5 linked regions of the Oryzias latipes genome follow. The protein of the gene in region 1 purifies or fractionates together with the protein of each later gene. This does not show direct contact. Links are inferred from orthologs where the notes say so. Each region holds a gene or a part of one and is shown on either strand. Other genes may lie near its edges. The genes, in order: mark2, mtcl1, fuca1, arhgef2 and utrn.

Region 1 (6,651 bases):
TTTTTGTCTTGAGGAAAGAACTTTAGCAGGAGACCGCTAGTAAAGACAAGTTTGGATGGTGCTGTGTTTTGAGGAAAAGATGCACGATGGGAACTAATTTAACTTCAAATAAAAAAAGATAATTAAAAAAAGAAGGCTTTATTCCCCCTACGTAACTTATTTAGCTTCAATTTAATGCATGAGGTGTGTGGAAAACAGCTTGTAGAACTGGTTCCTTTATGAGAGTCACGTCATCAGCATGAGTTCTGAATCTGCTCCTTTAGCTTATTGTTTCAGTTCAATACTTGACAACAGACATTTGTTAATGAACAGATGTTATAAGACACTGATTTCCATCAGGGTGAGGTCTGGACTTTGAGCCCTTTTTCCCCTCATTCGGTTGTATATTTGATAGTGTTCTCATGATTGTCCTGTTGGAGGATTCTATTTCACTTAAACTTTACAGTTGACTGGTAAAAAAAAGTTTAAAAAAAACAACCAAAATCACCCCCTCCTCATCACTTCTGTACTTCAGAATTGTTAGGAGGTGTTTGTACCGACACGGTTTAGGTTTAAATTTGGCACTGTGAAAGCCCACATGGCTCTACTTCAGTGCCACAGGTTTAGAGGACTGTTAACTTGTTAACTGAGGAAACAACATCAACACAACTCTTTTTTATATGTTATCTTAAAGGGATTTTAATCTAATACAATAAAAAAAATTTGGCATATCAAAGCACCTTATCTGTTAATATATTACCAATCACTTTGGTTGTTGCTTCAGAAAAGAAGTAAAAGAGGGGATTCAGTTTTTAACTTAAATATGGAAGAGTTACACCAAGCTAAAAAGAAAAAAAAAGATTTGGACTTTTTCCAGCTGAGGTCTAACTTTAAGTCAAGACAAAAACTCAATTTAGTCCCAGTCAAGCCAGTAGTCTGTCAAGAAAAAGTTTCATATAGTTCATATAATATGTACGCTTTCCTGCTTTATGATTGTCCTAAAATGAAACGACCTGGTGTTTATTGCATATGTCCACTTGCTGTCACTTCTCAGTCAAATATCAGTCTTTAAACTATAAAGAAGAACTAAAAGGTGTGATTTATTCTCAATGTGACACTTGGAATAATAAATCTGTACGTTATAACTATTTGCAGTGAGTTTTGATCCAAATGTTTTGTGAACATACTCTGAGTGTACAATAAATCTTTAAACCAACAATTGCATCGTTAAAAGTTTCATTCCTACCTTTTATTTTCCCATAAGGGTGCAGCTATGCGCCAACAAGCATCTGTCCCTCCCTGTATGTTCAGAGTTATGACTACGCCCTCATATCAGCTGAGCGTCAACCTGCTTTCTTTTTCTACACTGTCAATTGTGAAATGTGGCAGTTTTGCCCTCACACTGACTCCTGACATCCATTTATCTGCAGATAATCCACCTGTGGTTTCACAAAAAAAAAAGGTTAATAAAGATCCCCTCCTTTTAGTCATCTAGAAGTTTTATTTGGTTTAAATCTATTTTTATACACTTTATAAACGTTCCAATATCATTTTAAGCTACAAGCTAAAAAAAAAAAATAGTTAAAATCCTCACCAGAAGAGAGCAAAAAGAAATCCAAGCATGGGAAGTGTAATGTTCTGCTTTAGGAACATATTAGACTTATTTACTTGCTAAACTGTTGCATGAGGGACATGCATTTAAAAAGAAAAAACTCATATGGGGATTAAACCTAAGCTTTTTTTTTTAGAAAATAGTGCAGATCCGACACAGATTGCAAATTACAGCTCTAAAGGAAAATGGTTGTGAATACTGAAAATACCCATTTTCAAGTAGCTTTTTTTGATAAATTTGGGGGGGAAACAAAAACCTAGTGTTTAACTTAGAATGTAGTACTGCACAAGGATCTGTACTAATGGGAGAGTCTTAGCTGAAATCATGAACTTTTTCAAAATGCCAACCTTTCAAAGACCGATCATTTTTAAAACTATTTTAAAAGCGCTCCTAGTGTTGAATATGATTACCGTATGTCATTTAAGCCTAATTGTTTTTTAAACTGTTTTTTTCTAGGTAAGTTTCTGCAGAACAGCAGTAATCCATTAGAAATTTGCCAAAGAATTGTGAGTAAGACCATTGTCACAGAGCAACCCCGCCCCCTTTAACATCACCCATAACTGAGAGCTCTCCGTTTTCCTGCTCTCCTGCTAGTTTACAGCCCAACACACTCCCGACCTAACATTACCAGTAAAACAAAGATGGCAAGCAATATTTGAGCTATACACTTTTAAGCCAGATGCCACCGCGGATGAGGAAAACAAAGACATATTTGGATCTCTCCAAGTGGATTCATCAAAAATGGAGCAAAGGAGGGAGCTTGTGGCCCACCCAACATGTGTCTACATCTCAAATACGCTCATTTTTAAACTGTGTTTTGTCACCTGCTTGTGATTCACAACAATTTGAATTAATAAATACTCAGAAATGCAACTTTAAGCTCTATTTTCTACTATATCATGTGAAAAATGCCACAAGAACACCAAAAACACATTTTCCATCTTGGGTCTTTAAGCTAAAAGAAGTCCAATTTGATATTTCTCTCTCTCTTTTTTTTAATCCAGCACAAATTATGTGCACCACTACTCTATATGATCTAAAATTCCACTATCAAAGTTTAGAAGAAGCATACATTTTCAAATTCATGTTGTTCAGACACTTCAATTAAAAAAATAAATGCTGCAGATTCGGAGAGAGAGCTTCAAGCTATGTAAATTGGAATATTAAATATTAAGCAATGTCAGAAGATCAGTTTAAAGTGAAAAAAAAGGCTAGCAGCAAGACGTCCAAGAATCAGACTTAGACTAAACAGCTTCCCAAATCTGCCCTGAAGGGCTAAAAGGCAGTGGGAAATCCAGTGTAATTGCGTAGGCAAACTGGTGAATCACTGCTGTGGCGAAGGAAAGACCGACCGAGAAAAACCAAACACCGATGAAGGCCAAGTCGGGCCTCTACCCACATATACAGCATAATGTTTATAACATAAATGTTGCTTCGTATAATATGACAATCTTACCTGCCCCGTCGAGTTTTCAATGACTTGCAACAGCGGGACCCTTGACATGTTTTAAAGACTTTGGGGGCTCTAAAAAGATGGAAGAAAAAAATAGCGAGGCAATATAAAGATCTGTCAGTGTCTCTTGTTCATCTAACACCCGTGGAGTTGATGATAGAGGGAAACGTCCGACAGATGTGCAGTGTTATCCAGCCAGAAGAATGACAGATATCCCCGAGAATCAACAAGTCCAGTCCTCATCCGAGGCTAGGAGTTAGCCGGCTAGCTAGAAGAAACTAGCTAGTACTAGCGACTGATAGTCCCATGTTTCTTAACGAACAAAAACAAGATAATCAAAAGGTTTCCAGTTTAGCGGGTATCTAAAACCATTCAAACTGTGTTCAGAATTGAACAGACAGTGCTATAGGGTTTAATATCTTTTTCTTTTGATGGTCGAACCAGCTAGCCACCTATGCTATCTTGAAAAGGAAAGAAAAAAAGTTGGGCAACGGTTGAGTTGAAGGTACAATTAGGTGGCTAACACGCTAACCTAAAGGTAGCCAACTGTCCGATTAAGGCCCCAATTATCATAAAGCATGTATATACATATATATGTTTGTAATTATGTATATATTTTATGTTTCAAAAACAAAACTACGTCGTCCGTCTGTCTGACTTATTTGTGGCTCAGACGTTTCCTTAGGTTCGAAGCCAGGTTCGGTGTCTACAAACTTTCAGGCCAAAGTTATTCCCGGTCACGTCTCGACCTTCCCAAGTCTGGAAAACAATTGAAATATTCCAAGTTAAATTCCCGAAGCAATGGCTTTGAAAAATAAAGATAGAAATTTGGAAAGTGGCAGCATAGTAGGTTTAGAGCCCCAAATTAATTTGTTGCGCTGGCTAACTGGTTTGACGGTTTTAGCCCATGTAGCTAGCCAATTTAGCGGTCCTTTTACAAGGCAAGGCTAACTGGTTAGCTGATCCCCGGCGACCGCAGCGGCGGCGACTGCCACACAGCGACCCGCAAAAACTCCAAATCCACGGAAACCGCAGAAATCCTTCTTATGTTGCGTGATCGGAATAAGGTCGTCCACCAGTGCTGCACTGCAGTGTAGCTATATACCAGCTCGTCCAGTCGGTACGCCGACTATTATCCCAGCCACCCGAAGACGGAATCATCAGGTTGTACAATCCATTATTGGAGAAGTTGGATTTTCTTGTTCGGAGATGCGTGTCAGGGGCGGGAGAGGCAGAAGGCGATGAGCTGTGCCCGAATGCCGTCTGTGCGCACGATCCTGCCCTGATACCGGAACAAGCTCACGGCAACATGGCTGCTTGCACCACGACTGAGTGGAGAGAGGAAGGGAATTCTGCGTTCGGCTTTTCTCGGTATTTTCCGGCTCTGCCGTTGACTGACTGACTGCCCTTCCCTCCGTTTTAGGATCGGCAGGTGCAGACGTGGATGTAGGCTGAAGGCCCCGTGGAATCATATTTTTGTTATTTATTCAATTTATTGCTGTTTGACTCTATATGCTAATTATTATAGTCTAGTTTTTCGGCCATTTACGTCACAGTTACTGGGGTAGAAAATATGTAGGGTTAAATCAAATTTTTAATCATTTTTCAAAATAAAAGCGAAATATATAAATATTTAAAATATATCATATATTAAACATATTATTATTATGTAGAAGAAATAAACAAAAGCAATCTGTTATATTAAAAATTAAATAAACCATCAAGTAAATATTCAAATAGTAACTAAAGTAAAAGTAAACAGTACCATAAATCTAAATTAATTATCTTAACTCGTGAAATCAGCTGAAACGTTTTTTTTTATTTAGCTGTAGATAAAAGAATATTCTCTTCGTTACACAATCCCCTGTTTGGATTACATTAAAACTGTGTGATTTGTTTTTATAAAAAGGTGATTGGCAAATTGTTAATAAATTATTTTTCGTATTTCTTACTCTAACAATATATAACATCATACTTTTTATTTTTAAATTTGTAGTGAATTTTTTTGGTTAAATATATTGTGCCATTGTTTTTGTGCACACCAAGAATAAACTGGATAAATATTAAAAACAAAAAAGTGACTAAATAAATACAACCTACTGTAGCTGAGTAGTTTTATTAGGACTTTACTTTATTAGATATTTATTGTTTTAAAGGCTCTATTAAAAGTACATTTTTTACTAAATGTGAATGAGGTATATTTAACTTCTTAGTTCCCATTTCTGCATGGTAAAATGTGAACCCCGTAAAGATGCAGTGTTTCCTCTTCAGACCTACAATTATTTAAATGCCAGATGCATTGCATAGCAAAGTCACTTCCTCGTTCCCTTTTTATTGTCACTCTTTGAGTTTCTTCTTTTTTCACAAAGCCTGTTTAGTTTCAAGGCAAAACAAAAAGGGGGGAGGGATTTTACAAAATGTCCTATTTATTAAGTTAAAGTGTTAAGGGGCCATGTTTAGTTTAAAGTAGTTATAACTAAAGGTACTCCACCAGGAATGGAAGTGACACAGAAAAACATTTGACGAAAGTGTGGCCTATTTTTAAGATCCACCATTCACAGGCGGGGCTGAAAGGTAGTTGAATCATGGAACTCCTACTATCTCGCTGCAGTCTAGTCAAATTATGGGCCTTCTTTGCTACCACAGCACTAAAAATAAAATGTAAATATACCCCCATGTTATCCGCTAGTGTGAGATGCAGCAGCCATGGACATGTTCAAGTTACTTAGCAACAGCCTAAGATGATTTGGGTGTCAATGTATAAAACACTGGTAATGTCAGATGATGTGCTGTCATAATCCTAAATGCTCACACAGTGACAGAAGATACCAGCAAAAAACAAAAAACAAAAAAAAACAATCAGGAAGCAAAGAGGAAGTCAGAGAGACTAGAATCCAGGATTTCCAGATGAATCAAGGGGAAAATCAGCTTCCATCATGATAAAAGGAGAGTCCTCAAGGGCAGGTATTCCACTGCAGGGAACAACAAACCCTTTTTTGAACTTAAAGACAATTTTTTTAATGATCAAAAGCATGCAAATTCAGTAACATCACAATTCTATGGTGTAACCCCCCCCCTTTTTTTTAAAGCAAAAAATAGTTTAGTTGCTACGGAAATTTTGTGAAAGTGTCGCCATCTGCAGGATGAATGAAGATATTACACATCTATCTCTATAACTAGTTGAACAGACTTTTAATTAGAGCCAATTTCAGAGGATTTCAAGTCCTGTGGGATGAACATTAAAGAAAAACGACAGGCTTTAAAGCTCTGTATTTCCCCTTCACGGTGCCAAATGAATTTGGCAGTGTAGCCAGTTATTATTGACATGCAGTCAATGTTTCCCCCTGCTGATCCGGGCCAACTGTACACACCATCGGGTGTTTGATATCCGTCTTTTAAACATTTATAGCATTTCTATCATTTGTGTCAAAAATCATTCTGTTTGTGTTTGAGGGGATCATGGACCCATGAAGCATTTGACTACAATGTCCTGATTTCACCGTCTCATTCCGAGGCATGTGACTAAAAGGCAGAGCTCAAGAATGAGGAAATTGAATAGAATTATAAAAATATACACATCGTGCCGTTTTTAGACAAAATCCAAAAA
Region 2 (6,711 bases), on another chromosome or scaffold:
CTTTGTCCGCATCTGTGCCTCCAACCATGAGGGGACCACACATTTTCTGAGGGATCAATATTCTAAAAAGCTTGACTGGCCCCTGATGAAAAAAACAATTGGATCCATAAATGGAGGAAAGAGTATGTCCATTAAAGAAAAGTAAATCTATCCTCATTTGGAAAAGCCCACATGGGCTGTTGAGATCCCAGCTGGGCCCCGTGGGGAGGAGCTGACGACCTCTCACAAGGTCGAGCCAATCGATGGGCAGGTTAAAAGCAAAGACAGACCTGGCGGTCTCCTGGGAGCAGGTGTGTGCAAACAATACTCCTGATGTTCGTAAACGCTGGGTGCTGGCTCACAGCTGCTTCTTTACCACTCTTTATAGTGTCCTCATCTCCACTTAGCAGATGCTATAACTAATTTTTGATCCATTCATCTTGTAAACCCGTTTTTTTCCCTTTCGGGGTCACGGTGCTGCTGGAGCCTATCCTAGCCACTCGTGGGTGAAGGCAGGGGACACCCTGGACAGGTGGCCAGTCTGTCGCAGGGCCACAACTGATTATATCAAACTATATAAGTTTTGGCTGAATGCATACTTGGGGTCTACGCTAGTTTTAGTCAACTGGTACTTTGTGTAGAACAGTTTTTCCCGACCCTGGTCCTCAGGGAACACTGTCCTGCATTTTTTCAATCCAGCTCTGCTCAGACACACCAGCCTCTGATGACCGTCATTGTCCGGCTTCTGCAGAGCCCGATGATGAATCAGGTGTGCATGGGCGGGGCAACATGGAAACCATGCAGGATAGTCTGCCCCAGGGACCAGGGATGGGAAACACTGATGTAGAAGATGGAAAATATTCAGTTGGTTCCATATTACAGATTGTGCCACTAGGCGTCACTGCATGCTGGACGTTGAAGTCCCACTCCCATCATCTTTTTATCTGTTGTCAAAGCGTTCCCAGTGGTCTTTTAATTATGAGCATGCTGTTTTAGGCAAAAATAACTTTTAAAAAGTGTTATTTTCCGCAGAGCGGCAGGAGTTCATCAGAAACTCCCCTCTGAGTTGTGGACAGGACTAAGTCTGCCCTCATTTCCCATCATCCATCTGTGTACATGCTCTCCCGCTAGCTTACAATCCTTACACCCCAACCTAACATTAGTGCTGCAAGAAAAACGGTGGGCAATATTGTAGCCATAGAGCTCTGATCCAGATTACAGCTGGGACGAGGAAAACAAAGACGTTCATGGATCTGTTTATGATCTGTTGGTGGATGATCAGAATGGAGCAGAGCAGGAAGACTTGAAGCTTCAATGTCACAGCTTCAATCTTTTTAAACTGCATTTTTTTCATTGGTTCCTGATTCACAATTTGAATAAAGAAATACCAAGGAATGCTATTTATATATTTATTCATATATGTCATCCATCATGAGAGAAATGCTCCAAGAACATGTTAAAAACACCAAAAACACCATTTTCCTCATTGGAGTGGGTCTTTATAAAGACACAGGACAGAAATGTTTTTCTAATTTGTGAAACAGCTTTATCTGTTTTTTCTTATTTATTTGAGGGAAATAAGAGATCGCTTTTAGGCTTCCTTTGAAAGGAAAAGTGTGTTCTAAATTAAATTAACAAATATTAACATTTTCAATAATTTGGAGGAAAAAAAACTGCTTTCGTTTTTTTGCTGTGAAACCTGCTAAACTGTTGAGAAAAGCTAGAGTTTGTTGATTCTGGATTGCAAAAGCAGTTCAAATTATTTAATGCAAAAATATCTTATGATAAAGTAGAGCTTATTGATCAAAGGGAAACATTTAAAAGGATTTTCTGCTGTCATAACTGTCAGTTCAAACATTTGAATTATTTATTTTAAACAGGTTTTCAAAAACAACCAGCTTTATATGCTGTACATTTTAGTCTAGCGCTGCTCTGAAAGAACTGGACTGACTCATCAGTTAATTGATTATCTGCCTGCACACAGATAATAGGTGAGGTGATAATCACCTGCAGGTTATCAAATCAACGTTTTTCTACAGTGAAACCTAAAAGACAAACTAAGAATAAATCCATCTTCACTTTATTCTTTTTTAAGAAACAAAATCTGCAGGAAGGATGGCAAACACGTTTTTGCATTCAAAGAGAGGGCAGCAGTAGGGGGTGGCCTTGTTTTCTGTGGGCAGGGGGGGCTGCACGGGGGAGCAGAAGGACCTAAGAGACCCAGCTGGCAGACTGACAACCAGGCAGGAGGGTGTTTGAGCCCCCCACACATGGGACATGTGAATGTGATCAACTCCTGCGGGATAAAGCCATCACAGCAGAGCCAGCAAAGCTGATTAAGTCTCTTGTGTCTCCACCAAACCAGGGAGGAAGGCCCAGCAGACATGCGCGCGCGCGTTCGAGCGAGCTCACGTTTGAAATAATACTCTCATCAGTCTTATGCAAATACATTCACGTCCCATCTGGCAAAAAGGAGGTTTGGTCTTTGATAAACTCTCCTCAACTTTAGAGTTGAAAGATGGGAAAAGAACCAGAAACGCAGAGCGCGAGTTTACAGATTCCTGACGAATAAAGATGCGTTCATATCTGAACCCAGAACATCAAACTATTAATACCCTCCCACATCCACGGAGCCAGCAGACTGTCAGATGTGAAAAGTTTGATTTTGAGAGGAAACAGTCGAATCTGCGGGGAATCCCTCAGGATTAAACTGATGCTTGTTTTGACATTTTCAGGAGTTTGTCTGAAGGACAATAAAAACAGTCCGTTCTAACTTTAGGGGTTGAATGCACCTGACTGACTGACTGCGTGAACCTGTTGAGAGACGGCAGCCACGCACCTTGAGGTAGTCGTTTTCAGATCTCAGATCCTCGATCTCCCGCTGCAGATCCTCCTCGGTCACCTCCTTGGCTGCGGGCTGTTTGACCTGTGCGCCGGCGGAGCCGCTCTCCGGTTTGCTGTCCTGTGCGCGCGCGCTTCCCTTGGCGGCGGGAGAGTCGCTCGTGCGCGGCGGCGCTGCGGCTGGCGCTCCCGGTTGGTCCCGGTCACTGGAGCCGGTACCGGACTCCGCGTCGCTACTTGCGGCAGGTGCCGCCCTCTGCTCGTCCGACAGCGGTTCGGACGGGCAATCCGACAAGTCGGAGCTGCTGTCGGTCTGAGTGACCCGGGCCAGACGGGCCCCTGTGGGGACCCGGATCGGGGATCCATGGCTGAACGGGCCCGGAGAACCCGCGGGTAATTTCCCCTTCTTGCCTTTGGTGAGGACCGGACTGCCAGCGGTGTCCGGCTTGGTGCTGGCGGCTTTGGGCTCGGTTGCTGCGTGCTGGGGCGGCTTTGCGGGCTTTTTCGCGGCAGCAGACCTGGTGCTACTTTTGACTGTGGCTGGTTTCTCCTTGGACCCAGCTGTGCTGCGTCTGGAGCTGCGGTTCTGGTGGGCTAAGGACACTGGGGCGCACTGCTGCTGCTGCTGCTTGGAGAGTTTGGGGGATTTGGGTCCGATGGCAGGTGGTTTGGCGGAGCGGGACGGCACATCCTTCAGGAAGGGTCTGGCCGGGGACGGCGCTCGGTTCGGTCTCTTCTTCTCCGGCTGCTGGCTGTGCGCTTTTGTGTCGCCACCGGAGCCATTGGAGCTCTCCATTATACACCGGCGGGAGCGGAGTGGAGGAGGAAGCGATCAATTCGCGGCCCCGCAGAAAAGCTGCCCGGTTTCGCTGCTCCCCTCCTCACCGGGGTGCGCATCCTGCGGTCTGCGAGGTCTCCTTCACTCCATCCCGGCTGCTGTGACCCCGTAGTCCCGTTTCGAAGGAAAGGCTGCCGGTAAACGCGGATAATCGGCGCAGACCCGGTGAGTGACAGGTGGCATCCGCTGCCTGAAGGAGCCAAAGTTGGTCAGACGGATCCGCGGCGGCGCTCCTCCTCCTCCTCCGCAGGCCGGCTCTCCATCCCCGCGCGTCCTCCTGCTCCCGTGAAGCTCTGCAATCACTGCGGCGCGAGGCTCGACGCTCGTCAGCTCCTACGGCGCGCATGCGCCCTGGCCCCGCCAGCACACCCCTTGTTTACTCCGGGACCAGGTTTGACACGCACGCGCTGCTGCGCATGTCAGAACGGAGCACGCCTTTCCTCTCAGAGCGCGCGTCACGGTTGATGAAGATTCCCACAGCAAATGAAAGACTCCGGTCTAGCAATAAATATAGACATCTTTAATAGCATCTCATTAGTTCCAGAATGCCAAAAAGTTATAAATACAACAAACCTGCTTTTTCCATCATGAATTACAAAAAAAATGAAGACAGGTTTAATACAAAGTAAAGTCTGCGCCTTTAAAGAATACAGATCGAAGCATGTCAGATGTAGTATTAGGCTTGGTTGTTACACTTAGGGGTTAGTAGCAAAAAGACAGACAGGTCCTGTTCTGAAAACAAAAATTCTAGATTTTCTACAAAAACCCTTTTGACTGAGTCCAATCATAGAAATGTAAGGATTTTATTTTGGTACAAAACCTTTTCTTGGATGGACATGGTGCCTTTTTAAACCTTTAAAAGCTAAAATTGAGCATAAAACGTCAATAAAAAAAGTCTTTTTAGGCCATCAAATTTACATTAACATCATATCTCCCCCTAAATGCCACAGCTCAACAAACATATGAAGGATTATTGTTTTCTAAGAGCACGGGAGGAAGTATAGCACATATATGTCCATGTAGTGGGTTTAAATAAACGTCAGACATGGACTCAGTTGGGAGAAAACCGTGAAGGAAATTCCTGTCCGCTCCGTAAAGGAACATTTGAAGCAGGGATTTAACATTGCAGCCGTCAGAAAAAAAACATTTCATTCAAAGACTCTGCAGGAGCGTCTTTTTATCAGACATGACTCAACAGAGCTGATCTGGTTTCTGCAGTTTTTTGGGGGACTGCATGGAGGAGGGTGGGTGGGTGGGTGGGGGGTGTATTTGTATGAAATCTGGCACTTGAATACGAAATGCTGCCACGTCCCAGAAACCAGACCTTTCGTTGGATTCAACACTCGGACTTGATTGAGCCCGTCCTCAAAAAAAAAAAAAAAAAAAAAAAAACAATCAGGCCTTTTTTCAAGTTTCCTGAGTCGAACACTGAACAAAACCGCCTTGCACTTTGCCCCAAAAAAGGAAACTTGGAGTTTAGCAATAAAACACAAACACCACAGAAATATTAGTCACAATAAAGAAAAAAGAGATGTGCACTTGATTTTCCTCTCCACATCCTCAGGTAGTGAAGGGTTACTTGCTCCAGCCTACATTACCCATCTCTCTTTGCGTCTCCAGTTCACTCTGAGCCTCACTCTCTGCTGAGGCTGCACTGATCTTCAGGGTGCTAAACTACAACTGTTCTCCCCCTTCACTGAGAGACTCTAGTGTCAAATATGACATCCTCGGAAAAAATATATATATAGCAGTTACAGATACTAGAAAACGGAATAAGTTAGAATCACCACTAAAATAAAAACAAGGCCCTTTTTCTGTGGGTCATCATGGCACCACGGCATGTTTACGGTGTGTTTCGCTTCCTTCAACCCAAATGACTTAAAGAATGTTCATCTGTATATAAAGTAGTTCAGCTGTGAACCCAGAGAGTAAACTTCTCTTTATTTTCTGTCTTCCAGAGGTGATGCGCCGGGCTAACTTGGACAAGATGTGGAGACAAAGAGAGAGAAGGATATTACTGCCCTTAGAAAATGTGCAACTTTTCCTGGAGAGCTCTCTATGTGGAAGGCACATGCAGGCACAGCTGGGTTAACCATCGATGCAATGAGGTAGTCGGGGTCACATGTAGACAGTGAGGTGGTACTAGGATAAAGAAGAATCTCCAGGCCTAAAGGTTAGTGTATGCTGCATATCTGAGAAGAGAAACGGAGGAAGATAATACTGCTGCTTTGACAGTTCATGCATCATTTACAGCAGCCTTCAACCATCCACACAGCTGCTGTGTGTCGCCCCCCAGTGGAGCCACGTGTCCACTGCACGCTGGGGTTTCTATGTGCTTTGTGAGAGAGGGATGATGGGAGAGACTCAGCAACAACGCATGCGGGGCGGGGGCAGTTCTGGCGGTACTTCCGGCTCCGGCTGCAGGGACAGAACGCTGTTGGACAGCTCCTTGCTGGGAACTTCCAGAGGCATCTGCAAAACCAGGAGCAGAAACACAACTTAGTGCAGCACACGAAAGCAACAAGCACGACAGTTCCCACAACAGGTCACACAATGACTTCTCACAGTCGCGCTCTGATCGTCTTCTGACCTATTTTCAAAGCGTTCCCAGCTGTCTTAATTATAATCATCAGCCAAAATCCAAAACCTGTTGTGTTTTTCTAGAACATAGTTTCTGCAGAGCGGCAGGAGTTCAGACATTCTCCTCCAAGTTGTGGATAAAACTCAACTCCAACGGCTCCAATTCCTATCATCTACCCATTTACAGCCTCTCCCACTAGCTTACAGCCCCTCACAACCTGAAAGTAATAATAATCAGAGTGATCCAGTTGTGATCCAGATTCCAGCTCCGACCAGGACCACAAAGACGTTCGTGGATCCGTTTGTCTGCAGGTGGATGATCAGAATGGAGCAGAGCAGGAAAACTTGAAATTAATTTTCAAACGGCCTTTTTTCATCTGCTCCTGATTCACAACGGTTTGAGTAAAGAAATACCCAGAAACGTCACTTTGAGTTTAATTTTCTTAAACGTATGTCCTCCGTCATCAGAAAAA
Region 3 (6,045 bases), on another chromosome or scaffold:
AAATTTCTTTCCGATGGACATAGGTGGGTTATGCAGATTGTTGATCCGATCGTTGTTCATGTAAACGGTTCATTCCGATCGTCTGTCACTACTGCTCTGGTTTAACGTCACGCATAGACGGTGTTTTGCCCCAGAGAAACACCGTGTTTTGCTCCAGAGAAAGCTTTGGCGCTCAAACAGGACCGACCCGCTGCACTCCGCCCTCGCCCCGCGGGCTCCTTGCCTCTCCCTTCCTATCTTCTCTGACACCCCTCGCGAGGGGGGTGCCGGTGAGGAGCGCGTCGTGTCCCAGACGTCCGGACCCCGCACCGTCCGGGCGCAGCTGCTGGTGGACGGAGCGAACCGTGTCTCTGACCAGAGCGTTTAATGAAGAGAAACCATATTTTAACGGGGGGGTATTTAGAATTTATAATTTGGTGTTTGCATTTTTATGTTGGTTTAAAATTAAATGACAACAAATTTTTCCTCTGAATTTTTTACTCAAATGTCTTGTTTTTATAGTGAATATTGTGATATAGTTGTATTAAAAACTGGAGAAATGAAAACTGTTTTCACTTCACAACGTCTTCTGAAAAGGCTTAAAAGTTTCGATCCAAACGTTTCTAGAGTGTCGGGATCATCTTTTCTTACCAGACTGGGACAGTGGTGTTCTCCATCTGGACCCTCCAGGGTTTGGAGGCGTAGATGGCCTCTCCGTTGACCTGGAGCCAGGCTCCAACGCCCCGAAGCCTCTCCTCAAACACGGCAGGGATCATTCCATCAGCCGTGGGACCCACATTGAGAAGGTAGTTGCCCCCAAGAGCAACTGTGCTGACCAGATCCTGCAACCAAACGGAGCGGACTCATGAGTCGATGACCAAATCAAGAAATTCTCTTTTTTTGTAGTTATAAAGTCGAGTGTTTCCAGGATGCAGGGTTTAGTCAATCGATTTGACTTGAAGGTTAAATAGTCTCAAACCTCAATAATGGTGGGCAGGTCCATGAGTTCCATGATCCTCATATTCCGTCTGTAACCCCAGGACAGAGTGTCCACAGACGTGCATTTCTCCCACTTGTGCTCTGGCAGCTGGCCTGGGGAGTACTTGTCTTGGCAGTTGTAATAGCCGCCGTGTTTGCAGGCACAGCCAGCCCCCCACCGGTCATTGGTCACCACGGTGTCCTAGGATTAGGGGGAGGAGGAGTCATGATCAATGCTCCTTGCAGCAGTCACTCCACTCACCTTCTACATCGTATAGAAACCTACTTTTACAGGGCTGTCATTGTAGAGCCAGGCCAGGAACTCGGCGGAGTTCCAGTAGCTGTCTGGCGCCTCCCAGTCTCCATCGGACCAGATCAGCTCCGGTCGATACCTGTAAGACACAGAAACCGAGCGTTTAATGAAGGGACTGCTTCAAAACTTCACTGTTGATCTTGGACTGATGGAGGACACACCTGACAACCATATTGTAGAGCTCTGGAAGCAACTTCTGCTTCACAAAGTCCTGCGTCCTGAAGCCATTCTTCTTGTCGTTCAGGTACAGGGGGTGGAACCACTCATATAAGGAGTTGTAGAGTCCATAGTGCAGGGACCTGAACAAAAATGTGTAAATCCTCACAAGAATGCAAGAACACTTTTGGTATCAGGAAAAGTTGTAAAAAAAAAACCTTGGAGAACTGGAAACAAATGAAAATCTTCACACCAGAGGTTTTAGCTCTAAGGCAGAAGTGTCTGACTCCAAGTCTCAGCATCCAGCATCCTGCTGATTTTTAGGAAAATCTGCTGCCGATTACCTGGATAACGTGAGATTTGCAGAGGAGCTTTAATTGCAGGTTAGTTGGAAAACGTGAAAAACACCGACCACCGAGCCTTGGAGTTTGACATCTGTGCTCTCAGGTCACTTATACCATGGTCCGGTTGAATACTCGATTCTGATTGGCTGCTGGGTGTGCATTAAAACATGATAACCGCACGGTGAAAAAAGAAGTTCCGGTCACCTAGCTTAAATGTTTTGTATCACTGCGCCGGCTTCTTTAAAACAACCTTTTGCTTCATCATTTGGACAAGAACAAGCGGTAAGAGGTGAACTTTCTCTCTGAACTGATGCTTTATTTAACACATCAGAATGATCAGCATTTATATATTTGAACTAATATATATATTAGTTCATGCACCGCATCACGTAACAAATAGTCCGCTTTTTGGGAGAAAAGCGATCCAAATCGGGAAAAAAAACAAGAATTAAGGACTAAAAACTGGTTAATATGTATTGCTTTTGTAAGTGACCATGATATAAGCGGGTTAATGGCCTTCGAAGTGTGCGTTATTACTCCGCTTCGCATCGGACGGTTCAGGCTTCCATGGCGTGCATTAAAAAGTGATAACGCCACTTCGTCAGCCATTAAACCTTACATGACTTCTGTGATGACCCACCTGTTGCGCACGGCCTCTCCCAGCTCTCCCACTAAATCCCTGTGAGGACCGGAATCAACAGAGTTCCAGTTCCAGGAGTTCACAGACTTCCAGTTTGTAAATCCTTCATGATGTTTGGCAGTGAGGACGACGTACCTGACAAAGCAAAAGGAAGATGAAGCAAAGGAACCGGGTCTGCACATAAACCAATGGAACTTCAACTGTGTCTTTCATTCACAGATAACAGATGCATTCTAGTCTGTTCGGATCATTTTTCCTCTTTGATTCTGCAATGTAAAGCAGAAAAGAAGTGATGCAACAGTACAGATCTCTGTGTAGATGATATGGACTTAAAAGGAGAAAGACTGAACCTTGTAGAAGGTGGATAACTTTTGCAAAGACCACGAATTGATATAAAATCCCTAAAAAGGGTCTCCTGTCACAGCACCAGACTGGAATGCAGGCCCAGTTCTTCCCATATATTTTTGTCACCTGCATAACAGGTGATTATGTCTCAGGCCTGTTGCCATGGCGATGACAGTAATTCTCCAGTTTGATCATCTGGACAGAGGCTTCTGACAGTATAGTGCAGGGGTCTGCTACCCGAGGCTCTGGAGCCACATGTGGGTCTTTAGTTTAAGAAAAATACAAACTTTCTCTTTTTGGAAAGCAACTTTAAAGTTAGAAAGTGAGTAAGCAGCTTAAAAAAAGCAAATTAACGAATCACTCATTGACTGTATAAGAGAACTGGACTGAGTGACTGTGACATCACCCGTAGAAACCAGTACTTCCGGTTCCAACCAAAGTCTGTTCAGTCACCATTTTTCAGCGATACGGACGCCTCCATTTGGAGCCGGACAAAGTCAGGCAGCAGTGATTGGTCTAAATTGCTGTTTCTATAGCACCTACTGTCGCCAATCAGGACTGAGCTTGTCAGAAGTACACAACCCTTCCACTGAAAGCTGGCTCAGGAGAATCTGTCAATCAAATTTTCAACGTGAGGGTCAGTTGACAGCACATGCTTTTACTGAAGGATGTGATTGGTCAGTTTATAACTTGCAATAAAGGAATAAAAAAAAATCAGACAGCCGTAAGACAGAGTGAAGATAATGAAGCAATTAAAACAAAACAAAAATCCATCATAATATAAGTCTTTATGCAGACAATGTATTGCTCTTGCTCCTAAACTCTGAATTCTCAATTTCCAGAGCAGTGACAGATATTGACACTTCATCAATCTCTGAGTACACTATTAACTGGATCAGTGCCATTACCACTCAATGGTAATGTGGAGCCAACTTATAACATTAAAGACGGGGAACATTAAATATCTAGGTGTCACATACCCCGTCTATCAGAGTTAGTGCAATTAAACCTTATAGTAGGCCTGCACAACAAATTACAAATTTATCATCACGATATCAAGCTGCGCAATACACATTTCACAGAAGTTGGCAAAAATTGCTATAAATGGTAACCTTAAATTTGTTAAAACAATCTTATGGCAGTTTGAAGTATTTACCGAATCAAATAAATACCTTTATGTATTTGACAAACAGATGGACCCCTTTTATGTTGGGTTCTCGCCTCCTATGTAGACGTGGGTCATTTGGAGTACAATCTAAGTTATGTTGACTCTTATTTTAATTAAACCATTGTATTTGAATGTAAATGATGTATTTTGTTGTTTTGCCATTTGTTCATGTACCGTCATCGCAATTTTGATCACTATTATCGCATACTGTGCAGTCCTACCATTACTTAAAAATGTACAGGACAACCTAAAACGATGGGTCAACCTGCCGATATCACTCATGGGCAGAACAGCTTCAGTTAAAATGAAAATACTACCAAAAATTAACTAACTTTTTTCTATTATCCCAATACTACCAGCTGCAACGTGGTTTAAATCATTGGATACATCCATATCCACGTCTTTAATGGAAAAATAAGCCATTGGTTTAAAAACTTTGAAAAATGCTAAATCTCATGGTGGTTTAGTTTCCAAACTACCTCAACGTCTTCCTTGCTCATAGACTACAGTATATTTTAAAATGGTAGAATAATAACCCAACAGCCCACTCAGCGATGGATGTAGAAGAGTCGTGAAGAGATCAGATCTGCCATTCATTAGCAGTTCCATTAAGCGGTATGTTTGCTTTAAATTTATTCATATTAAAGATACGTTACCAGCATGGTGGGAACTCTTTAAAACGACTTATTCTTATTCTACACGGAGTTAACGGACTCCTTTTGGAACGATCCTGACATCCTGATAAGAGAATTGTTAACTTCTCCACCTGGCAGAACACACATGTTAAACCTAAAGCTAAGTGTTGTAGTCCTATTTTATATTTTTATTTCTAGAACGGTGCTAGACCATGCAGACACTTAAAAGTCAAGAGTAAAATTTTAAAATCGAATCTAAAATAAACGGGAAACCAGTGTAGAGCGTGGTATGGGGACAATGTGATCACACCGTCTGGTCTCCGTTAGTAAACGGGCAGCTGAATTCTGGACCAGCTGAAGATGGCGGAGGAGGGACTGGTCCATCCCAGAATAAAGTAGTCCAGTCTAGAGAAGATGAAGACATGAACAACCCTTTCCAGGGTGTCATGAGGGAGATATGGCTTTACTGTATTGATAAATCTGAGATGATAAAAGCTAGACTGGACTACTGCACTAACATATATCAAATTTAAAACTACTATCTGAAATAACCCCAAGATTCCTGATAGAAGACAGGTTAGAGTACAATGATCCACTGGGACTACTGCATTCTGTCAAAAGGTCAGTTTTCTCAAACAGAAGTACTTCCGTTGTTTTTTTTTTTCATTTAAGCAGAGGAAGTTTAGGTTCATCCAAGTTTTAACTTCCTCTAAACACTTCTGTAGGTTCTCTACACACTGGGCTCCACCAGATTTTATTGGTAAATAAATCTGTATGTCATCTGCATAACAGTGATAGAACACATTATACTGATCAAAGATGGCACCCAGTGGGGAAGCAGGTATAACGGAAATAACATAGGACCTAAGATTGAGCCTTGAGGTACCCCATGTCTAAGTGGGGCCTTTGTGGACGAGAATTGTCCAAGTTGGACAGAAAAACTCCTATCAGATAAGTAAGACTCAAATCATTTAAGTGCTGTGCCTCTCACGCCAACAGACTGCTCTAATCGATAAAGTAAAACATCATGATCAGCTGTGTCAAATGCAGCAAGTAGATCCAGAAGGGTCTCCCCGCAGAGGCTCCAGAATCCACAGTTAAAAGCAAATCGTTGCACACCCTGAGTAGAGCCATTTCCGTTCTGTGACGTGATCTAAAACCAGACTGGAATTTATCAAAAATGCCATAAAGCTCTAGATCAGGGGTGGGCAAACTACGGCCCGCGGGATGGATCCGGCCCGCCTCCATGTTTGGTCCGGCCCACTGAATAATATCAGAGACCTGTTTTTTATTTTTATCTGGCCACACGATCAAGACCCACATAGAATGTAACATTTTATTCCCCCCTTTTGCAGTCTGGGCTCCAACCTGAAACCCTCTAAAATCCCTGTTAAACAGAACAGAAGACAGTCTTCCCTTTCTACGTCGCAGTTCATTTTCATACTTTTAGAGCAATTATGCTGTTCTTTTTCAACAGCGCACCCTGT
Region 4 (6,561 bases), on another chromosome or scaffold:
CATTCAGAAGTAGAAAACCAGCATCTGCTGATGTCCATGAGTTCAAGACTTCAGGCTGTCATTGCCAACAAAGGCTTTTTTTTCCGGCGGTAGGAAAAAACAGTCCTCATTTCCGTTGTGCTGCAGTTGTGTGGTTGTGTTGGGGGTAATGCCGTTGCGTTGCTTCTTTTGTATGTGGTGTGAGTCCTGTCGGCCACCCAACAGAACCAGCAGGACAACAGCAGCCTCATTCCTGAAACTGCAGGACTTCAGGCAGACTGGACCTTCCAGCAGCCTAAAACACCAGGTCTGCTCATGGAGAGCAGCTGGTCGGTGGGCTTTGGAGCCGGACGGTCCGGCGTCAGGGACTCTGGACTCTCTGGGAACCGTTGATTGGGGTTGAAAGTAGAAAGCCTGAAGTGTGAGTCGTGTAGAAGCTAAGATGGCTGTTTGAACTTCTGCTTTCTGGCTGGGAGAGGCAGGAAGTGGAGGCTGCGCTGCTGTTCCTGAATTTCTGCTCTGAGCACGCTCAGACCCAGTCTTTGACCTGTCCTGCGGTCCACCCCCCGTACCCATCACCATCAGACTGCCTCCAGATCCCCTCTGGATCAGGGAAACCTGCTTCCCAGCAGCCCCGGTGAATGGTGACAGTCAGCGATCAGCTGATCAATGGAGAAAGAGCTCAGTGATGCAGGCGAAGAAAGAGCGCTCTGTCTGCAGGGGAGGGGCGGAGTCACTGAGGACGGGGCCGCAGACACACGACGATCAGCTTTCACCCCACAACCTGATCCTGGAGCCAACAGGCCGCCAGAAACGGCAGGTCCTGAGCCGCCCACCAGGTGAACAGTCACCTGTGTGGAGCTCTCTGATTGGCTGAGAGAAGTCAGAACCGCTCTGGACGTACTTCCTCCTGTGGGGCGAGCGCTGACAGCCTCACAGCTTCTGCTGTGGCGGAGGTGTGATCCGTCTGAGCGCCATGACAGAAGGTCACGGACGGATCACCGCCACGGGGGCCAGAGGGGCCAGAGGGGCTCAGGTTCTGCTCCCGGATCGATCCAGAACTTCTGCTCTGATCGGACCTTCACTAAACTCTGTCAGCTGTAAAAACATAAACGCTTGGCCACATATTTAGTCAGCGCACGAGCGTGGGCGTGCACGTGTGTGTGGGAGGACAACTTAGATGCAACCAGCAGGTATCCATGGCAACAGGATGGATGCCTCAGACGGGCGTAGGAGTGAGCGCCGGCTGCACTCATCCTCCTCGGGATGAAGAACTCTGCACCAAACCAACCCGGCTTTGGACACGCACATGTACAACCACACACGCGTGACGACCACCAAAGCATCAGCCGGACTGAAACCAGAACCAGAACCACCGGGTTCTGACGTCAGTTCACCTGTCCATCTGCTGTCCCTCTCACCTGCAGCGCCAGTGTTCACAGGTAATCCTTACAATCACAGGTAATCTATAGAGTCACAGGTAATCCCTACAATCACAGGTAATCCTTACAATCACAGGTAATCTATAGAGTCACAGGTAATCTATAGAGTCACAGGTAATCCCTACAATCACAGGTAATCTATAGAGTCACAGGTAATCTCTACAATCACAGGTAATCCCTACAATCACGGGTAATCCCTACAATCACAGGTAATCCTTACAATCACAGGTAATCTATAGAGTCACAGGTAATCTATAGAGTCACAGGTAATCCCTACAATCACAGGTAATCTATAGAGTCACAGGTAATCTATAGTCACAGGTAATCCCTACAATCACAGGTAATCTATAGAGTCACAGGTAATCCCTACAATCACAGGTAATCCCTACAATCACAGGTAATCTATAGAGTCACAGGTAATCTATAGTCACAGGTAATCCCTACAATCACAGGTAATCTATAGAGTCACAGGTAATCTATAGAGTCACAGGTAATCCCCACAATAACAGGTAATCTATAGAGTCACAGGTAATCCCTACAATCACAGGGTAATTCCTACAATCACAGGTAATCTATAGAGTCACAGGTAATCTCTACAATCACAGGTAATCCCTACAATCACAGGTAATCTATAGACTCACAAGTAATCCCTTCAATCACAGGTAATCCCTACAATCACAGGTAGTCTATGGAGTCACAGGTAATCCCTACAATCACAGGTAATCCCTACAATCACAGGTAATCTATAGAGTCACAGGTAATCTATAGTCACAGGTAATCCCTACAATCACAGGTAATCTATAGAGTCACAGGTAATCCCTACAATCACAGGTAATCCCTACAATCACAGGTAATCTATAGAGTCACAGGTAATCTATAGTCACAGGTAATCCCTACAATCACAGGTAATCTATAGAGTCACAGGTAATCTATAGAGTCACAGGTAATCCCCACAATAACAGGTAATCTATAGAGTCACAGGTAATCCCTACAATCACAGGGTAATTCCTACAATCACAGGTAATCTATAGAGTCACAGGTAATCTCTACAATCACAGGTAATCCCTACAATCACAGGTAATCTATAGAGTCACAGGTAATCTCTACAATCACAGGTAATCTCTACAATCACAGGTAATCCCTACAATCACAGGTAATCTATAGACTCACAAGTAATCCCTTCAATCACAGGTAATCCCTACAATCACAGTTAATCCCTAAATTCACGCTTCATCACAATTGTCACTGATGAAGACCACATTACTTTTTAAGTAACCGTTGGTTTTAGTTTCCTCCGTGTGGAGATGAAACACTGAAAACTCCTTCCATGTAATCTGTTGCTTACAGTAATGGTGATGACAGAATAATAATCTGGATTATCACCACAGATCTGGTCTTTGGCTTCATTTGTCAAACTAAACGTCTGTCGTTGACAGAAATGTTTCTTTCTTTGATTCCAGCCTAAAAGTCAAACTTTGAGTTTGTGTCTTTAATGTTTTATTTTGAAAAAGCACATTTCATACTAAAACGACCCCGACCATGACTCCTCCACCGCCGGAAGAGTTTTTGTTTACATTCGTTGTCGTCCTGGCGACGGAGTTTCCGTTATTTCTTCACCATGAGCGCGTGCACATCCACCTCGCTCCTGGACACTTCCTGAAAGATGCGTGCACGCAAGCGCAGCCGCGCGCTCCCCTCCCCCCGTCGCTTCCTTCTGCAGGACAAAGCGCCACGCGCTCACTGGCGTTGATACCCGGTAAAATAACGGGCACGCGCACAGCGAACTCTCTGAACACATCGCCACACGCGCATGAGCTCGCACCTCGCGCTCTTTCCACAAAACGAGGGAAGCGTTTGACGGGGCGCGTTCTGAAGCTCCAAACTTTCCGCGTGTCTTCCTGCTTGAGTCCAGATGTGAAAAAAAGCCCACCCATCATTAAGAGTCTCAGCAGGCGCGCGCGCGCGAACCTTAGCGTGAAGGTCCGCGCGCGCGCGCGCCTCCTCACCTTTAAGAGGACCTCCTTCATTCTGTCCTGTTTCCGGTTCTCAAGCAGCCGCGACATCCTCACGAGCTCGGGCTCACACCGGGGCCGCCTCACAAACTCTTTCTGCGGATCCTGCCGCCGGAGCCGCGCGCGCTCAGAGCCGGAGGGCGGGGCTTCGCTCTGACTGACAGTTCCGCTTTTCACACTGACAAATGAGAGCTCAGCCCGCTCCCCACTATCTCAGCCAATCCTGTCACTGATAACCACGCAGGACCCGCCCACCAGATGCCTCAGGAGCGCTCGTTTCCTACACACGTCTACGCCGGTGAAAGGGTGGGTGGAGTTTATCCTCAGAAAGACGTGTCACTGCGTCACGTGACTTGCTTCAGCCTATTCTAGAGCGCCAAGAGATCATGCTGGTCATGACCAAATCCCTGACAGAGCGGTGAAAGCGACCCCGCCCCTCCCCACTCAGGGGTGGACAGCAGAAAGCATGTGACGTGGAACTCCACCATCGACTCCGCCCCATCTGGACAAAAACGGGGGCTGCAGGTGAGGAGGACGAACCTACACCTCCGCACGTGAAGGCACAAAGAATCGGACAGGTCTGGTAATGAAGCTGGGACATTACTGAGCATGCGCATCTGTGCGCAGAGAACGTTTTTTTTTAGTCACATCTAGAGGATCCCCGGTGCAAGTCCCACCAAAGGGGGACGTTTCTGTGTGGAGTTAGCATGTTCTCCTGTGCATGTTTCTTCATCTTTTACTGGATGACATCTATGTATAAAATGGAATATTCATTCTTGGATTCTGTTGATAAGATGTATTTATAGTGTAATAAAAAGATTATATTCCACTGACTTTCTGTCAGGTGAGCCCATCTGTGTTCACAGGGACTTAACATTTTTCTACCTGAGATCTCATAAACCCGTTTACACTCCTATCAATTTCACCCAAACGGTAACTCTAGCAACATATCGCCAATAATATTCCTTTAGTTTTGGATGTACTTATTTAATCATCTAATTGCAGATGACTCCTTTATGTTGTTTCTGGACTTATTTAAGGCTTTTGACACAGTAGAACATAACTTCCTGGATTGTTCTGTACAAAAATTTGGTTTTGGTGACTTCTTCTGCAAAGTCATTAAAACTCTTTACAACAAAGCCACCTGCTCTGTTAAACTTAAATCTGGCTCATCACCTAGGTTGGTAGGTACGCCCAAGTAGCCGGGATAGGCTCCAGCAACCCCGTGACCCCGAAAGGGAATAAACGGTTAAGAAGATGAATAAATGATGAATGAATGAATCATCACCTAGGTTTGATATAAAACGTGGAATTAGAAAGGGATTTTCTATATCGCCATCTATTTCTCCTTGTAGCTCTGTTTCTCTGTTGCCACATTAAATCCAGTCCATTACAAAGGATTTCCATCGCTAATAAATCTATTGTCGGAAGTCAGCTCGCCGATGATACGACTCTTTCTTAAAAACAGGCAGACAGCTGGATCCAAATGCAGCAGGTTTGTTAGCTCCGTTGAAAGTCCACAAAGCTAAATCAGGGTCAATAACAGCCATGAGATCATCAGAGGACAGATGGGGTAGTCAGGATCCAGGCGAGAGTCGGGGCAGGCGGAGTCAGACACAAGGTCAGGAGACAGAAGATTAGGTCTAAATGCAATGCTTAGAAAAGAAGGCAGAGTGGCACAAACAATACTTCGCCCACGAGCACCCCTTGTGGCGCTCGCAGGGAATGCACCCAAAAAAGTTTTTCTTTTTTTTAAAATTGAAGCAAATATTCAACAAACAATCATGGCATGTCTGTCAATGACAACAATATCAATTCTGAGACAAAGGTAGACAAAAAAAACAAATATGAAAACAAATCTAACTTAAAAAATAATCAACAAAAATAAGGATCTATTACAAAAGTTGAAATAGATCAAATAAATTACACAATGTCTGGGCATTCTTATGATTCATGTAATGTAAAGATTTAGAGAATAGGTTGAGACGGTTGAGTAATCCATTAATATGAGGTTTCACCTTTAAGAATTTACAAGTATCAATAAAATGCTTTGAAATTACAATCAGTGCATCAATCAGAAAGTCCAGATTTTTGTGAATTAATTGTAATTTAATTTTAATGGTATTCCAATTTATAGGGTCAATGATGATATATTTGGATTTAAGCCAATTATGAAAAGAAGACCAAAACTCTTTTACATAAAAACATTCAAAGAAAAGATGTTCCACAGTTTCTACATCATTTCCACAAAAGACACAAAGATCACTGTCCCAGTTAAAGCCAGAATGTAAAAAATGATTGGAAGGGTAAATATCATTTAGCGGGAATGCTCAAAATATAATACTGCTCATATAGCAAATCAATATATTGTGGCGATCTGGGGGTTAGCCTCGCCTTCAGCTTTTAAGACTCATGGGAAGTGGGGAATCTTGGGTGTGTTAAATTGCTCACCATAAGTGAGGGAGCTGTGAGCAGAAGTGAGGTTAAGGCTGTTTGGCTGGTGGTGGGGGTGTTCAAAATAAACAGACAGATATGACTGTCTGCTAACTAATGTGAGTGATGGTCTCAACAAACCGGTGCTGTGGTTTGCATGGGGCACGGGTAGCAGGTTTGGACATGTCCAGTGGGGCCATTACTAAGTAAGAGGATAGTGAACTAAGACTCGGGTACAACGGTTCTTGCCTGGACAGTAAAAGGTGCTGATTCAGTGCTTGCTATTAGTAATTGATGCACTTTAGTTCTGCTTTTGTGAAATATATGGCAGAGTATGGAACGGCCTTAAACTTGGGAATCGGGATTCCCGCTTTTGAGAAAAGGGCGTGTGTGTGAGGAGGAGAAGGGGAGGGGTAGTGGGCGCAGGTTGTGGGGTAAACCGGCACACAGAGACCATTGCGCAACACCTGGATCATGGGGGGGGGGGTGGCTTAAATGACTCAGCTCATTCTAATAATGTCATTCTTCACTAACTATTGCAGACATTTTTAATACTTGTCTGTATTTTCCATATCCATTTATTTTTACGTTTGTTTAGTTGGTGATAGTTACTTATAAATAAAGACAGCAGGTAATGCAGGCTGGAAAACAGCTGCACTTTTTCAGACCATAAATAAACTATAGATCATTTGTTT
Region 5 (6,045 bases), on another chromosome or scaffold:
GTCAGTCACAAGTCCTTACAAAAAAAATTAACTTTTACTGAAATGGAATATTGTGACAGCGAAAATGTGACGAAACATTTTCAAAAAACAAATTGAGTCAATTAAGTTCTGGTCAAGAGAAGAGAAAACTGTTCTGACCTGATGGTGGAGATGCTCAAAGCGCGAGTTGAAAGCTTCGAGTTTTTCGCTAATGAGTTCATCAAGAATGCCGCCGTCTACGAGCGTCTGACCCAGCTCTCTGATTTGTGTCCGGTTGTCCCCAGGGTGGCGGAGCACATCCTCCAAAGACTAGAAGGAGAAACGGGCAGACAGGTCAGACTAGACTCACAACACAACAATAGTTTTTTTTTTTTATGAATGTAAAAAAAGGAGAAAATGTTGTCCTTCAAAAAATATGATTAAAATATGATTAACGACAAAAAAAACTGCAGACTGAGCAAAAGCCCTGAAAAAAGGATGAAGAGTGGAGGCAGAAACTGCCGCACTGTCAATAAAAAAAAAAAACAAGACAAGCCAAAAAAAAAAAAGAGGAGGAGTGAACTGAGCGAGCTGTGGAGCGACACCTCATATTTGGATCCAACACTGTTTTTGTAGCTTCACTTTTTCGCCCCAAGTATTGGTGGAAAGAAGAAAAGATGGGGGGGGGGGACCAATGGGACGCAGACAAGAAGGTGAAACTCTGTCTGCGAGGGACTTTGGTCTCCTTCATCGCTATGTGAGGCTGCAGATGCCCCTCTGTGATGAAAATGAGTCTGACAGACGCGCCCCAGGCAGTCTACAGATTTAGCAATGGAGCACGTCAAAGCAGAAGACAAATCAAAGACAAATTAGGTCATTAACATTTAGTAACAGCATTTAAGCATCCAGTTGTGGAAAACTCGTCATGCATGTTTAGTCTGAAGTTTCTGCGAACCCAAACGACTTTTAAAATCTTCCTTTCTTCCTTTTCCAATTTTATTAATCCTATCAGTTTTGCTTTTTAGCCTGAAACGGGTCTCTTCATGAAAATTATTTGTCTACATTTTTAAGGGGTTTTGAAAATGTTTCTGCTTTTAACCAAAATCAAAACGCCTGTGTTTGTAGGACATAGCTTCTGCAGAGCAGCAGTGGTTCATAAGCAAATGGCTTCTGAGTTGTGGGAGGGGAACACTGGTGCGGAGCAACACCGCCCCTCTTCCCGTTGCTGAGAGCTTGGAGCAGAGAGCTTGTGACCTGCCCGGCGTATTTTCTACCTCATAAATAAACTCTTTTTCAAACTGTGCCTGCTCTACTGTATAGTTTCGGGGAGGATAATAACACTGTGTCCCAATTCTGGCTTACACACCGTTTTTGCTCCGCTATGGGGTACCCTTTAGGTTTCCTTTCTTTTGAATGTACAGTGTGTCCTTATTTTAATGTGACTTCTTAAAGGATTGTGATCTCAAAAACTCTTTTTCAAACTGCATTTTTTTTCATCTGCTCCTGATTGATTTGAATAAAGTTACTCAGAAATTCAATTTTAAGTTTAGTTTTCTTTAAATAAGTCCTCCATCATCAGAAAAATGCCACAAGAACATGTTAAAACAACAAAAACATAATTTTCACGAAGAAGGTTAACCTACGTTCACACCGCCCTTGGTAATGAGCACCCTAGCGGCTACTTCCAATGAAATGTCTATGTAAACAGGCATAATTGCTCATTTCAAGCTTCTGCGTTCAAAACTCTTGCATTTACACATGGCTATGCAAGTTTCTATGACCCTTTTCTCTACGTACACAACGCGTGGCAATTTAACACTCGTTGCCAGATATTCCAGGTTGAACTTTGACCTATCAGTGACTCTGATTTGGTAATGACATGGTGAAACTCACCAAATCAGAGCGTAGCTGGTTTCTCTGGCGAACCCAGACAAGGACAGACCAAGGCCAATCTCCTGACATGATTGTCATCCATATCCCCCAATGCAAAGGTGCTAACAATGATCCGAACTGTTTCAGTTTTGTCTCTAAATTGCGCGATTTGCACCGCTGGCTGCGACTTTTCACACCAAGCCTCTTGTGTTGTAAGTGGCGGACATGCACTAGTAAACAGTAAAAGCCCCTCTTTGCTCGTGTAGTGTGAAAGCGTGTTTAGCGCGTTCTTTGACGAGCGTCACAAAGTCGGTGTGTAGGCTAGCGAAAGCGTTTTAACAGAAAGCTCTCAGTAACAAAGAGGGGAAGGGAGGGCGGGGTTGCTCCGCGCCACAGGTCCAACTCACAACTCAGAGCTGCATTTCTAATGAACTACTCTCTGCAGAAGCAGCATCCTTAAAAAGCTTTTACAATAGATCAAGGATGATCGCAGTGGGACTCTAAATAAATTTCTGTACAGATAAAAATTGCTTTCAAGCATGGAGCATCCGTCAAAGTTTAGGATGTAATTCCCACTTTCATAGAAACGGCTGTCCCAAAAGCAGGATTTGGGGGGGGGGGGGACATACCTCCAGAGCTTCATTGACAGCCTCTGTGCTCTCTGGTAGGTTTTCAGTTGCATGTAATTTTTCCTCCAAAGAGGTGAGCCAGCTCTGCTCCGTGTCCAGAAACTGAAGCAGCTCCATCCAGCAGGACCACACCTCCTGAAGAGCACGTCCCAACGTGAGCAGGAATGTTATCCACAAACATTTTTGAAGCCTCAACACATAGAAAAACTTTAAAATCCACAAGAATAGAGATTTTAAAAAAAACCTCCAAGGTGTGGCATTTGCTCTTGAGACGGTCACAGAGCTTGTTATAGTTGGCCAGGACCCCTTCTAGCTCAAAGGTCAGCTCTTGTCCAAAGCCATCACCAAGGTGAGCTGTTCGGGACACCAGCGTGTTGATGTTGTCCTTCAGGATCTTCACCTTCACCTCTTTCTGTAGCACATCCTCTTTAGCTCTCTATGGTGTCCCACCAGAGGACAGCAGAAAGGGGTTAAACAAAAACCAAAGGCTTAACTCTTCAAAATTTGACACGACCAATCCCACCTTCATCTCTTCCAGAGACACTTCCAGGTCCTCTGGACTTTTGTACTCAAAATCTCTCATCAGAAACTCTTCATCAACTTGAGCCATCCATTCCTGCATCTCTCCCAGGTCTTTCTTCAGGTTGACCTGCTTCTCCTGACTCTCTGCAGTATGTTCCTGATGACTGAGGAGCTGAAGGAAAACACAAAAATGCACCTTATAGATAGACATAACAAAAAAAAAAAGTTCCAGCGCTGACACCACCTTAAATCAAGCTGCAATTAACAGATACTAACACGAGTCTGAAGAGGGAACTACGCAGTTTCTGCTATGACTAAATTATGCAACACAAATTTCAAAAGGAGACTCAACCTCTCCCATTTAAAGACAAAGTAAAATAAAAAGAAAAAGTTCTCACCTGTGCGCTCAGCTCCGCCCACCTTTCCTGACACTCTTCCAACCTATCCTGCCCCCACTTTGCAAGTCCTGGTACTGCAATCGCCTGCACAGCTTTCACATTTTCTTCCATCTGCTTCAATGAACGCTCCACTGACTCCATCTCATTCACATACTCCTAGTTTGAAACAGAAGAAGCTTCTGATATTGCTATGGACTACAAGAACCAGAAAAACACTCCAAAAATGTATACTTTAGGCAAAAGGTGTAATTATTAAAACATTAATTCTTAAAAGCAGATTTTGATTAAAAAAAAAACTCCTTTTCTGCTTCAAAAACTAAAAGAGATTCAAAAATGCTTTAATGTTCTTACTTTGCACCTGCTCAGCTCTTCATGGAGATTCTCTCCATCTCCCAAACCTGTGGTGTCCCGAAACAACAACTCCTGAACGGCATCAAACCAGCACTGCACTTGCTCCAAACACACCTAAGTGCAAGAAGTATTGTAGGAGTTTTAAAATGTAAGGAGAATCTACATATTTTTCTAACACAACACATTACATTTATTGGCATTAAATGTGGAAACGTTTCATTTTTTGTGGGGTAAATTACAATGGTGTTACCCTAAAAGAATAAATTGCAAAAATACAAACAGATAAATAATTCGCAAAATGCAAATACAACTATATTTAAACTTAGTTTCCCCTTTATTAATTTAAAAGAAAAAATAGTTTCTATATGTATGCCTTTTTCATTTTTTTTAAAAAAGAAAAGGTGAAAAATAATCATCAGTCACTACCATTTTAGTGTTTCAAGCTGCCCCACCTGATTGTCCTTCATGCACCCCAAAATGCAATGCAACGTGCCATGCTCCTCACGTGCCCTGGAGGAGAGCTGACTCCATTTTTGTAGTTCTCCTGAATCAGACGCTTGTTGCGTTTGCTCAATCTGCAGGCACAAGCTCTAAAGGGCAAACCACAGACAATTTAGGATCACCCAAAAAATAGAACTTTCGTTAAAAAGGTAAAGAAAAAAAAAGAAAAATGTGAGCATCGAGTAAAAAAATTGTTTTTAGGTTTTCATGAGTACTCTTTATATTTATTGAACTGATTGGGCTTTCTAACACTGTAAAGTTAATTTTTGTTCTGGAACATGAAGCCAGACCATTACCAGCATCCCCCCGGACTAATAAAGTGATCTCAGACACGCCATCATAGTATTGTCCTGTATGTTGTGGTATCAGGCAGCTTGGCAGCTTTTCAGAATCCACAGAGAAATTTGAGGAGTTGCATGGACGGGCACGCTGCCCAGAATGTGCCTCCCCACCCGGCCCTGTGCCCCTGTCTGTCATGAAAACGAGGCTGCAGACTGATTCACATTCCAGCACAGAGCTGAGGAGGTGAGCAAACACACAAAACACCACATACTTTCAGGACTGCATGCAAAAACACAGAAAGTGTTGTAAACACACACAATGCACCCTTCTCCCATGGTAACAAAGTGACATGTTGTTTACTGGGGACAAACAGTGAAGTGATATCATGAAAAGCAAAAAAAATCCCTAAAAAATAGCCTGACAGTGCAGTTCTGTCAGACATTAGATATGATCAAAGGTGTCTCTGTTGTCTAAAAAAGTCCAATGTACTTCAAACCTTCCTCTTCTCAAGTTAAAATGGTCTGTTTGGACAAATTAAAATCAATTGTACCTTCAGAATGGACTAAAAAAAGTATCTTTGCCTAAATGCTTTGACCTGTTTTGTGGGAATGCCTTTATTATTATTATTATTTTTATTATTATTATTATTATTGTTATTGCAACAAGTAGGGCCTGTTGCAGAAAAGTTGGAATTTCTTTCTTAGGTTCACTTTAAAATGATAAACCTTAGTACGGTGATAAAGGTGAACGAACTTGCAGTGGGATTCTAAAAACCTCTGCCCATCCGTTTAGATTTAAAATTGATGGCAGCTAAAATGAGGGTGAGTTTTATAAACCTTAGCATTTCACTTTGTATTTAATCTCAAACCTGAGCACAGTTGGGGCCGAGGTCTTTCAAATGACTGTTAAAAGTCAAATGGGCCCCTGGGGCAAGACCCTTCATGCCACTGCCCAACTATGTAGCCACAGTGGGGCTAGGTCTCCCTGTGCTGGTCCCCAGCCCAGATAAAAAGCAGAGTTGTGTCAAGAAGGGCATCCGATTGTGCTATCAGTAGAAACTGATTCACTGTGGTGACTCCTAAAAAGAAAGATTAACCCTATCCTGAAAAGATAACTAAAACCCCAGAAGCAAAAACAGGACCAACACATACTCTTTGCTCTGGCTTTAAAAGGACCCAACCTCCTTCAGCGTTTCTTCTAAATGATCAGATACAGTGCAGTGACATTTTGTCTCGGTAAAAACTCTCACCTGTGCCTGCTCTACTGCCTTCTCTGTCGTGGGCAAGTCTACGACCTCCTCTCTCAGAGCAGCCAGTCTGACCTCCAGGTCCTCCAACACATTCTCAGCCACCTGGGTCACTTTAAGCTTTGTCAGAGCTGAATTAAAACAAGAAAAACATTCAGTGGGCAGAGAAATGAGGAAGAAAAGTAGGTAAATACATGGTGTAAAGTTCCCCAGCTGTGTAGGAATTTTACCACAAGGGGGCAGTGAGCGGGGAAATTCCCCATTTGTCTATAAATGTGCATGTTGT

What was found.
Region 2: the proteins of mark2 (region 1) and mtcl1 purify together in Homo sapiens (affinity purification with mass spectrometry; 5 studies listed by BioGRID and IntAct, with this or other methods). This does not show direct contact. The link is inferred for Oryzias latipes from reciprocal best matches to the Homo sapiens genes MARK2 and MTCL1.
Region 3: the proteins of mark2 (region 1) and fuca1 purify together in Homo sapiens (affinity purification with mass spectrometry; 3 studies listed by BioGRID and IntAct, counting the BioPlex papers as one, with this or other methods). This does not show direct contact. The link is inferred for Oryzias latipes from reciprocal best matches to the Homo sapiens genes MARK2 and FUCA1.
Region 4: the proteins of mark2 (region 1) and arhgef2 purify together in Homo sapiens (affinity purification with western blotting; 3 studies listed by BioGRID and IntAct, with this or other methods). This does not show direct contact. The link is inferred for Oryzias latipes from reciprocal best matches to the Homo sapiens genes MARK2 and ARHGEF2.
Region 5: the proteins of mark2 (region 1) and utrn purify together in Homo sapiens (affinity purification with mass spectrometry; 4 studies listed by BioGRID and IntAct, with this or other methods). This does not show direct contact. The link is inferred for Oryzias latipes from reciprocal best matches to the Homo sapiens genes MARK2 and UTRN.

The regions. Positions count from the first base shown.
Region 1 is NC_019876.2:13,071,747-13,078,397, forward strand, and holds the start of mark2 (serine/threonine-protein kinase MARK2), read right to left. Parts: upstream 4,386-6,651; 5' UTR 4,150-4,385; exon of another isoform or gene 3,117-4,149; 5' UTR 3,096-3,116; coding exon 3,048-3,095; intron 1-3,047. UniProt on the Homo sapiens protein: Serine/threonine-protein kinase. Involved in cell polarity and microtubule dynamics regulation. Phosphorylates CRTC2/TORC2, DCX, HDAC7, KIF13B, MAP2, MAP4 and RAB11FIP2. Phosphorylates the microtubule-associated protein MAPT/TAU.
Region 2 is NC_019875.2:4,636,388-4,643,098, reverse strand, and holds the start of mtcl1 (microtubule cross-linking factor 1), read right to left. Parts: upstream 4,054-6,711; 5' UTR 3,617-4,053; coding exon 2,819-3,616; intron 1-2,818. Other genes in the region: rab12 (ras-related protein Rab-12), read right to left, coding at 6,023-6,130. UniProt on the Homo sapiens protein: Microtubule-associated factor involved in the late phase of epithelial polarization and microtubule dynamics regulation.
Region 3 is NC_019869.2:24,116,059-24,122,103, reverse strand, and holds part of fuca1 (tissue alpha-L-fucosidase), read right to left. Parts: intron 2,546-6,045; coding exon 2,411-2,545; intron 1,570-2,410; coding exon 1,432-1,569; intron 1,350-1,431; coding exon 1,244-1,349; intron 1,160-1,243; coding exon 959-1,159; intron 822-958; coding exon 631-821; intron 1-630. UniProt on the Homo sapiens protein: Alpha-L-fucosidase is responsible for hydrolyzing the alpha-1,6-linked fucose joined to the reducing-end N-acetylglucosamine of the carbohydrate moieties of glycoproteins.
Region 4 is NC_019874.2:32,692,954-32,699,514, reverse strand, and holds the start of arhgef2 (rho guanine nucleotide exchange factor 2), read right to left. Parts: upstream 3,584-6,561; 5' UTR 3,485-3,583; coding exon 3,428-3,484; intron 1-3,427. UniProt on the Homo sapiens protein: Activates Rho-GTPases by promoting the exchange of GDP for GTP.
Region 5 is NC_019882.2:8,817,072-8,823,116, forward strand, and holds part of utrn (utrophin), read right to left. Parts: intron 5,891-6,045; coding exon 5,763-5,890; intron 4,321-5,762; coding exon 4,183-4,320; intron 3,845-4,182; coding exon 3,731-3,844; intron 3,536-3,730; coding exon 3,380-3,535; intron 3,154-3,379; coding exon 2,983-3,153; intron 2,896-2,982; coding exon 2,704-2,895; intron 2,595-2,703; coding exon 2,460-2,594; intron 289-2,459; coding exon 139-288; intron 1-138.